Drosophila melanogaster: one gene and its partner. The protein of the gene in region 1 interacts with the protein of each later gene in a pairwise test. Each region holds a gene or a part of one and is shown in the gene's direction. Other genes may lie near its edges.

The links.
Region 2: the proteins of Ten-m (region 1) and cher interact in binary tests that used the Drosophila melanogaster proteins (3 or more experiments, as listed by UniProt).

The regions. Positions count from the first base shown.
Region 1 is NT_037436.4:22,404,831-22,409,772, reverse strand, and holds the start of Ten-m (tenascin major), read left to right. Parts: upstream 1-1,909; 5' UTR 1,910-2,580; coding exon 2,581-2,881; intron 2,882-4,942. UniProt on the Drosophila melanogaster protein: Involved in neural development, regulating the establishment of proper connectivity within the nervous system. Acts as a homophilic and heterophilic synaptic cell adhesion molecule that drives synapse assembly.
Region 2 is NT_033777.3:17,122,341-17,126,898, reverse strand, and holds the start of cher (cheerio), read left to right. Parts: upstream 1-1,509; 5' UTR 1,510-1,660; coding exon 1,661-1,686; intron 1,687-2,112; exon of another isoform or gene 2,113-2,140; coding exon of another isoform or gene 2,141-2,410; exon of another isoform or gene 2,411-2,422; intron 2,423-4,216; exon of another isoform or gene 4,217-4,486; coding exon of another isoform or gene 4,487-4,501; intron 4,502-4,558. Other genes in the region: CG17477 (uncharacterized protein), read left to right, coding at 1-772; CG45079 (uncharacterized protein), read right to left, coding at 2,141-2,410. UniProt on the Drosophila melanogaster protein: Involved in the germline ring canal formation. May tether actin microfilament within the ovarian ring canal to the cell membrane. Contributes to actin microfilaments organization.

The DNA.
Region 1 (4,942 bases):
GAATGTTAACCCAAATGGTTCAACTTCAAAAAACTGCAAAGGTTTAATCCATTGCCCCTTAATTAAATATATGCACAACAAGCCAAGAATGTTTGTTCCTGTACGAAGACTCAGATCGAAACCTACGACAACTAGCCAAATCAGAAGTCACATTCCCCCTCGGAATCCACATCCTCCTGATAATATTCAATGTGTCAAGTGCAGGCGAGCAACGCTTCTCTCCCTTTCTTGAATGATGCTCAAACATTTTTGCATACAACAGGAAATTGATTTTTCATCGACAGCAAAGAAAATCGGGAAAGCAAGACTCCATATCCTATGCAAATACTTTCAGACTACAAAAAAATTTGCGTCACGCGGCGTTGCCACATTGCGAGACTCGGAAAAGAAATGACAATTTCTCCGGCATCTCTTCTTCTTCCCCGCCGTATCCTTCTCGTGCTGGGAAAGCTGTCAAAAAAGCTTCAGCAACAACTTCCGCTACATGGCAGAGAATTGCCTGCACGACGGGCTAGGGGGCGGTCGGTGGAGGCGGCAGGATGAGACCTGCGTTCAAAAGTTAAGCCATTAGCGAAATGTCCTTTACTTTGCTTATAACGCAATTTTCTGCTTCTTTTCTCGGCCATGGCCCCCTCATCACCTACCCACCCCACGCTGGCCACCATTGTTTGTTTCGGACACTTTTTGGCCAGGTCCGCTCGGTTCTGGCTTGGGTGCTGAATGACAACTTCACTTGTCAGCGATTTGAAACTTTTTCGCCTCCCCTCGCCGCCACTGACTAACTTTTCTAGCGCTAATGAAGTCTGAGGATATTTTTTGGCTGCGTGAAAATGCTCCACAGAATCTGACAGCATAATTAGTAAATGAAAAACTGTTTTGTGTAATTCCCAGGCCACAGGAGGTTCAGATACCTTGAAATACAAATTCCATTGTTTTTAAAAATGTAGTTTTTAATATTTTTGTGTAACCTGCAATTTATTCAATGCAAGCTGAAAGTTAAAAGTTTTCGGAGGTTTTGGAAAACCTAGATATTTTAGGGCAATATATAAAGAGAATATATAATATATATATAATAATAAATAATATATATTATATAATATATAATATATATAATAAAGAATAAACTAAGCTATCTTTTAAAGTTTGTACCTAATAACTTAAATACCTCCACATTTACATTGATATTTTATGGTATATGGTATATGGTATACGTATACGCACTTTTATGTAAACCGGTTAACAGTTTTGTAATAAAATTAACAGTGTCGGTGTTAGCCGCCGGTGAAGCTGTTATTACAGCGCTGTTGGCCGCCTCAGATAATCTTAACGAAACTGGCGTGCAGCACGATAGATTCGAATCCGCTGTACATCCATTTCCCCTTAGCCAAACGAAACGCACTTTTTAACCTTCAAACCAGAGATTCGATGAGTGCTCTCATTTGAGTGCTGCATACTCTTCTGGTTATAAAAAGGCTAAACATACCATTGAGAACAAATATTGATGGTAACTTAACAGAAGCACAAGAGTATTAAAAGTATATTATTATATTTCCTTGCATATCTTTTTCTATAACGCTGTCATAGACTGGAAATCTATATGATTCGGAGTGATTCTTTTGCAATTAAATTAACCTAAACTACATAAGTAGCACCTATTATTCTAGCAAAATAGCTATATTTCCAGCTAAGGCCAGACTATCAGCAAATTAGCTAAATGGACAACGCTGGTGCGCGACCGCTCTCTCTCTCACAAATCATGCGCAGTATCAGAATAAATGAGAGAGCGACGCATTTTAACTGAAAAAGAGAGAATATGAAGCATATTGTTTTTCTCTCATATTTGCAGCGACTTGCGCTCTCTAGCTCTCTCTCTCTCTCCCACAGACTCGGTTCGTCGTTCGTTTTGAGCTCATTCGTCTTTTGAAATTCGCCTCGCACGGTCGGAATTGTCGTCGCGGAAAATGTGGATATACGAAAAGTAGCGAAAACAGCGCGTTGCTTCAGTCGAAAAATATAGAAAATCGTCGGGAATCAGGCAGCGAATGATACCTGCGTCTAACGAATTCTGACATAGTTTTACGATCGTCGCGCAAACAAACACACCGCGTCAATTCAAAAACACCGTTTTTCCCGTCGCGTTCCTGTGCTCCCCATCGTGTGTGTCCCGTGTTTTCAGTGTACGACTACTGAAAAGGCCCAAGAAATATTATTGCGGCCTCGGCGGCAGATTGTGATTGAGCTGGGACCAGCAGCCCGCCCGCAGATTAACCGTCTGGAAATGGCCCAGTAGAAATGTTTTTGAGTGCAGTGCGTCCAGTGCCATCCGCAGCCGCATCCGCATCAGCAAGTGCATGAATAATCGCGAGTAGCCAAACGCATACCAAGTCTCTTCTTCCTGCTCCCGTGCGGAGTCCTCCTCCTCTTCTTCTTCTCCTGTCCGGCTGTCTGGCCAAAAGCCCCCAAGCCGCCAAGATTAAGTTCTCAAAGCAGCACGCCCATCACGCGTACCGCCACACGGACAACATCTACGACGGCGGCACGGACACGGACGACGACGAATGTCCGCTGGAGGCGACCGCCATGAATCCCTACGAGTATGAGTCGACTCTAGACTGCCGCGACGTGGGCGGCGGCCCCACTCCGGCTCACGCCCACCCACACGCCCAAGGACGTACGCTCCCCATGAGCGGCCACGGGCGGCCGACGACGGACCTCGGTCCGGTCCACGGCAGCCAGACGCTCCAGCACCAAAACCAACAGAACCTGCAGGCCGCCCAAGCCGCCGCCCAGTCGTCCCACTACGACTACGAGTACCAGCACTTGGCCCACCGTCCGCCGGACACGGCCAACAACACAGCGCAGCGGACACACGGAAGACAAGGTGAGTGAGTATGCCGACCCCAGTGGGCAGTGTGGTCAGTGGAATCAAACCGAAAGCTACAACTCCGGAATTTAGTGGCCCAAATAGAGCGTCTGGAAGTGATTTAAAAAAGTTTAGGATGTGCGGAAATACTTTACAATGCATAAATTGGATTAAATGAATTTGTAACTTAAATTATGTTTGGAAATCAGTGAAAAATATAAAAGCGTTTCTGATAAGAGTACCATGCTGCTTAAACATACTGAGATCCGTTTTCCATCGCTTTCGTATACATCACCGAATTCTTTGACAGACGTGCCTAAATCAAATGAGCTAATTGATATCAATATTTTAAGAAAATGGAGAACATTTGGTTATTAGCTACGTACGTTGAGAGAGGATAGACTGGTTCTAAAACCATTCATTGCTACTTGGCATTTGTGTATTTTTAGTATTAGTCAAAAAGTTAAAAGCAAATTATGTATGTGCAAAAGGATTCCAATGTTTCTCAAACGCAATTCAAGTGAGCTACCGTGTCATCTGCTAGTTACAGAAATTATTCCTTTTTTCGGTGACAAAATCGTGCGGGTTGCGAATTCCAGCAAGTTGCGACAAGTTTGAACAAATTACGCCCCTTATCGGCGAATGCGGCCAAACATTTTGCCTAAATTAAACAAATTAAGGCGGCAGTCCCAATGGGAGTGGGATTTGGACTTCGCCTGACATTGAGCCCGCTCTTGTTTCGCATTTCATAATTTCCCTTTTTCCGACTGAGCGCGTTTTTTCACGATTTGTCTGATTAATAAAGCGAGAGCCACAATAGCCAGCGCACAAAGCGCAGTTGAAAAGGATACTCTCTGTCAGCCGACAGGAATTAGGGGGAATCCCAGACGATGTCCCCGCTCTGTGAAAAAATGCCTGCGGCTGGAAAATGCTCGAGACTTCTGAGAGGAGTTGGGTTACAGTAGCCTGCCTGATTGTACACTGACAGAAATCAGGGCACTAAGTTATGTTGATATAGATTTTGAATGAAAATCGTAGTTACTTGGATACCCTCTTAATATGAGAACAGAATTTTAGATTCTTTACTTTTAACTATTGTTTTGATGACAATAGTTCACGTATTTAACTCTAGATTATGTTAGTTCGCTGCTATTATCGATTTCAGCCAGCCTCCTCGTAGCGTCTTCATGGCCACTCCCAGACCTATCCAATATTTTCGATCCCTGGACCTCGACCACGAGCAACCTAAACACAAATACATGCTCCGACATGCTTCAGTTTTATTATTTCCGACTCTGCTTCTTGGCATTTGAACTTACACATAATGCGGACTTACATAACTTTATTTCTGGCATTTCCCTTTTGAGCTCCGGTGCCCATTTTCCGCTCCTCATCTTCTTCATCCTCATCGAAGCCATCCCACCGCAGCCGCGCTTGCTCTTCTCCTGCCTTTCAGCGTTTTTGTGGTGTTATAAAAACAATTGCCAAACAATTGGAGCTTTGAAACGAAATAAAAATCAAATGGAAATCGAACCTGGAGCACACGAACGTGTGGGTGTTTGGGTTGGGCTACCTGGCAGCGGCGAAAGAATTGTAAATTTACAGCAACAAATAAATTTCGTAACTGGCAAACAATAAATTCCTGAGACCCGAAGACTTTTGCAGAATTTCTTTTCAGCTTTGGCGCAAGAAATGAAATTGAATAAAGTGGGCCAGGGGGGTGCGATTGGGGCGGGGCGGAGCTCGTAAATTTTCAACACTTCACCAGGCAGCAGCTTTTCCCGCCTTCCTGCTCCCCAGTGCCTGTCATAAAATTGCCAAAAAGCCAAAACAGGAAAGACGGAGAAGCAGCGGAAAATTCTTTGCCTCCCCCACTTTGAAGCTGTGTTGATGTGTGAAAATCCGCTCGAAGCTGAAGCACCGAAATTTCAATGTCTCAATGCTTTATTTGTCGGCCTGCCAATTAGCCAAATTAGGTCGAAAAAATCGGCCACTTTGCATTATTAAAAGCCAACCGCAGCCAGGTTCGAGTCCAACTCCAGATGGCCTCCAAATCCAATCACAAGCCCCGCCGTCATA
Region 2 (4,558 bases), on another chromosome or scaffold:
CGTGTTCAGTTCACTCTACTGTGACTTATTGGCATTGGAGCACTTCATTGTGGGTGGCCAGAATGCAGCTGAAGGAGATGCCCCCTACCAGGTGTCGCTCCAAACTCTTTTGGGTAGTCACCTATGCGGTGGTGCCATCATATCGGACCGATGGATAATTACGGCTGGTCACTGTGTCAAAGGATACCCGACTAGCAGACTTCAAGTGGCCACTGGTACAATTCGCTATGCGGAACCAGGAGCTGTTTATTACCCAGACGCCATCTACCTGCACTGCAACTATGACAGTCCCAAGTACCAGAATGATATTGGCCTGCTCCACCTGAACGAGAGCATTACCTTTAACGCACTAACTCAGGCGGTTGAACTACCCACATCCCCTTTTCCAAGAGGAGCTTCGGAGCTGGTTTTCACCGGATGGGGATCTCAGTCAGCGGCGGGGTCGTTGCCATCGCAGTTGCAGCGTGTCCAGCAGCAACACCTCAACTCCCCGGCTTGCGAGTCCATGATGTCTGCCTACGAGGATCTGGAACTGGGACCTTGCCATATTTGTGCTTATCGTCAGGCAAATATTGGAGCCTGCCACGGAGATTCTGGAGGTCCTCTAGTTCACCAGGGCACCCTGGTGGGCATACTCAACTTCTTTGTACCCTGCGCCCAGGGTGTGCCTGATATATTCATGAATATAATGTACTACCGCGACTGGATGCGACAAACGATGAGTGGCAATGGCAAATGTGCACAGGTCAACCAGCAGACAATAGATGGATAAAAACATTTGAACTCATTAAAGAACCTCAATTCATAATGTAATTCCTTAATGCTGTAAATAATTTATTAATTTATTAAGCCATTTAAACATAAGATAATTCCCAAACTGCCAGCCTTGTATCAAATATCACCAAACATGCACCAAAACCGCATAAAACCCGCACCAAAGCCGCACACAAATCGCCACCAAGCCGCCAAGAAGCCGCTAACAAATCGCGTGCAAGTCGAACTGAAAACGAAGGGCAGGATGTATCCTCTACGGGTCACTCGTAAGGGATCATTCTGTACGGGGCATCCTCTATTTTTTTAATTACTTGGGTTGCTGTAGTTCACTTGTTTTTTGGCGGGAGTGGTGAATTATTTTAATGTTTCTGGAGGCAAGTGATATTCTTGGCCCACAGCCAGGAGTCCGTTCAGTCGGACAGCCGGAATGTCTTAGTGATTCAGCCACCCGCCGTTTTCTGATTTATTTCGGAAGAAGAGAAGTGTCGCACTGGTCACACGTGTCGTCCTGATCTAATTGGTAGCAGGTAGACCCAGACAGACGTGGTCTTAGTCATGATTTGAGTTGTGAGAAAAATTTCGACACAAATCGCTCACGGCGCATGGAAATTCTGAAAATATTTCTATCGGCACTCGCTGTTCAGATGGGGGAAAAACAACCGGGAAAACTCTCAGTTGTGGGCTGTATCTTGGCATTTTGAAAAAGATTTTCAGTTGCTGTATTGACTTGGACGTGTGCGGTGCGGGCCTCGAATTTTCTTGGAATACGCGGCGTATACGCAATCCGTGAGCTATATGTAGACGCGTGTCTTGCTCATATTTTTATATATACAGCAATATATAACAAGTGAAATTTCGCAACTTGTGCAAAGTCGAGGAAAAAATTATGTTAAATCCAGTGAAAATGCCAAAGTATGTGAAATAATTTTCCCAATTAAGGCAAAACGACTTTGCAATGTATTTTACATTCTTACCAAGAGCGATGAATATTGCGCTAAAAGTATACGGCCAAAAAAAAACCGTTCGAATAAATATATTACCAAAAATAAAATAGAATATTTTGTGTTATGTGAATTTCAGTTTGAAATATTGCGTACAAGGCGTTGCCATTTCGTGATATATTCAGACGATGAAAGGCCTCTTTGCTGGATCCCAAAGAAAGAGCCATTAAATGTTCAGTTGTGAGAGCGTAAAGTGCATTTATCTGTCGGGCACCAGATGTTAATAGAGCCTCTGATCTTTATTTAGCCTCAATCGCATGCTCTGCCGCACCTGGGGTATCTGCGGGGTATAGTACCTAAGGGGACCCGGCATATGTATTTCCCAAATGATTTATTTAACTAGGCGTACACGTTTAAGTGATTTTTTAATAGAAGACATAAACCTTTTGTGCACCCTTTAGCAGATTTGTGCAGGGTCCTTGGGTTTTTCCATCACATGGAGACCTGGAAGTTGACGAAGCAACAGGTGCAGATGTTGTAGTATCCTCCCAGTAGGGATACGATGTGGTAGAATCTCCGTACGGAACCCAAGATGATGAGTATGGGTCCCAATAATATCCGGATGACGTAGTTGAGTCAGAGCAATAGCAGCCTGCCAAGACGCAAAACAACGCAAAGATCGTTAAGAACCTCATTTTAGCCGGCATTAATACAAACTAATAAACGATAGATACAATTTTATCAATTATATACTTCTTATCTTATTTATTTTCAATTGTTTAAAGAAATAATACCTTAAAACAGTTGGGCAAATGCCAAATATTCAATAAAAAGCCTAATATTTAACTAATATTTATTTTTCATATTCTATTGCCAAATTAATCACCAGCTGTTGTATCTAAAAATTTTGAAATTTTCAGAAGACTTTGTATGATTCATTTGAAAGCCCACTGTGCCATTGTTTATTATATTCCAATTATTTTCTAAATATCCAAGTAACAGTGCCGAATCGGGAAAAGCTAAATAAAGCGTTGGCACGTGAAATTACTTGACGGCAACGGGGCGTATGCGCAACAAGAGATTTTAACAGCCCAAGCAGCTGTTGAATTAATTCAAACGCCATGAATAATGATGGTCAATAAAAATAAAATTTGTTTAAAAGTACACGCGCTGCGCGTTCACACGGAAATTAAATAGGTTTTGAGAAATGTTAGTACAGAGTTGTTATGAATGGTGTTTCATATCTAAGCATAATTAGATCTTAAAATTCTTACTGGTTTTTTGAAGTTCATAAAAATGGTGACTATAGTTTAGTTTTCTTAATTTTATTTTACGGATTGATTTTGGTAGATCACTTAAGACTTCCTAAAACCCCTTTTAAGCGCCATGATAGCACTGAAATCAGATAATCAGAATAAAATTGTTTGATATATTTAGCGTGCTCTTGCTGCGTTTTATCTTCAAACGAGCATAAACATTCAAGCCAAATAAAATCGAGGAATTTATGACAGCTGATTTGGCCGGAGCTAGTTAGTCATCTCACAAGAATAAACAACATACAACTGTACATATGCTTTTCATTTAAGAGTTCTACGGGTTCTACGATCCCCCGATTTGGGATTCTTTATCAGCGCCTCGTGAGTCAAATGACGGGGAAATGCGGAATGTACTTGGGGCGACCGCCAGAGATGGCCAAAAGCCAATCATTTTTGCAGGAGGCACTTTCAATTGTGACCAGCAGCAGAGAAGATTGAAGCAAAAACATAAAACACAAAAGACGGCAACCAGTTCTATGAAAAGAATAACAACAAAATCAGCTGCGCGTCGAAAATCACATTTGTGATGAGTTGCAGGGGGTGGGGGGGGATTGCGGGGCAAGCGGTGGGTGGGGACTGGGGGGTCTCATGTGGTAGCGTCGCCAAAAACCTGCCAAACAGAGTCAAGAGTGCAGTCGACGTCGACTGCGACTGCGACTGCGACGCCGAGTCAACGTCACACGCAATACCAAAAACACAACACAAAACATGAAGCGAGATAAATATTGAACAAATTATGTATTGAAGACCTTTGACAGACGAGGATGCACTTTTAGAAACTTGTGAGAAATGTATTCATTTATTTAATATGATCTGAAAAAAATAAAAATACAAACCACAATTTTATATTTTATACTATAACTATGATATACATAATAATATTGTATTCTAATTTCATTTCCAACTTGAAATAATAATAGAAAAAATCGAAGGCAAACCTTTGTTATCTGTCAACCAGTAGGAGTGTGTAGAAAGTATCTTTTGGAATTATAACCTATAAGCGTTACCTAATATTTGCTTAGGGAGTTACTTAAGATGATCCCCGTCTGTATGATTTATCTGAGAAAATAATAATAAAGAAATTGAGCAATAAGCGGCGAGCATTTGGCTGCATAAAAACTTTGAGCAAGGAGGCGCACACAACTCAGTCGAGTTGAGAAATTGTCGCGGCCAGTACGAGTACGTGTAGCAAAGAACCCGAAAGCAACGCGCGCATTTCGTGCACACATTTTCAAAACCAAAAGAAAGAAATTCTGAAATTTGTTTACGAAAAAAAACGAAGGATTTGCCAGTCGTGTTTGTGTTGTGTTTTTTTAGAGAGAAACGTGCTCGCCACGCCAGGAATTGTGTAATTAGCGGGCCATCAAGTGTTCAGTATTAAGCACCCCCACTAAAGTATTACAACTCGAGATCATTCGACAGCGATCCCTATCAACCAACAGAAAAACCATCGATATGGCGTCCAGAAAAGTGAGTTTTTTTTTTTGTTGTTTTGTGGGCCTAGGGTGGCCCTTATCCGATCGGCAA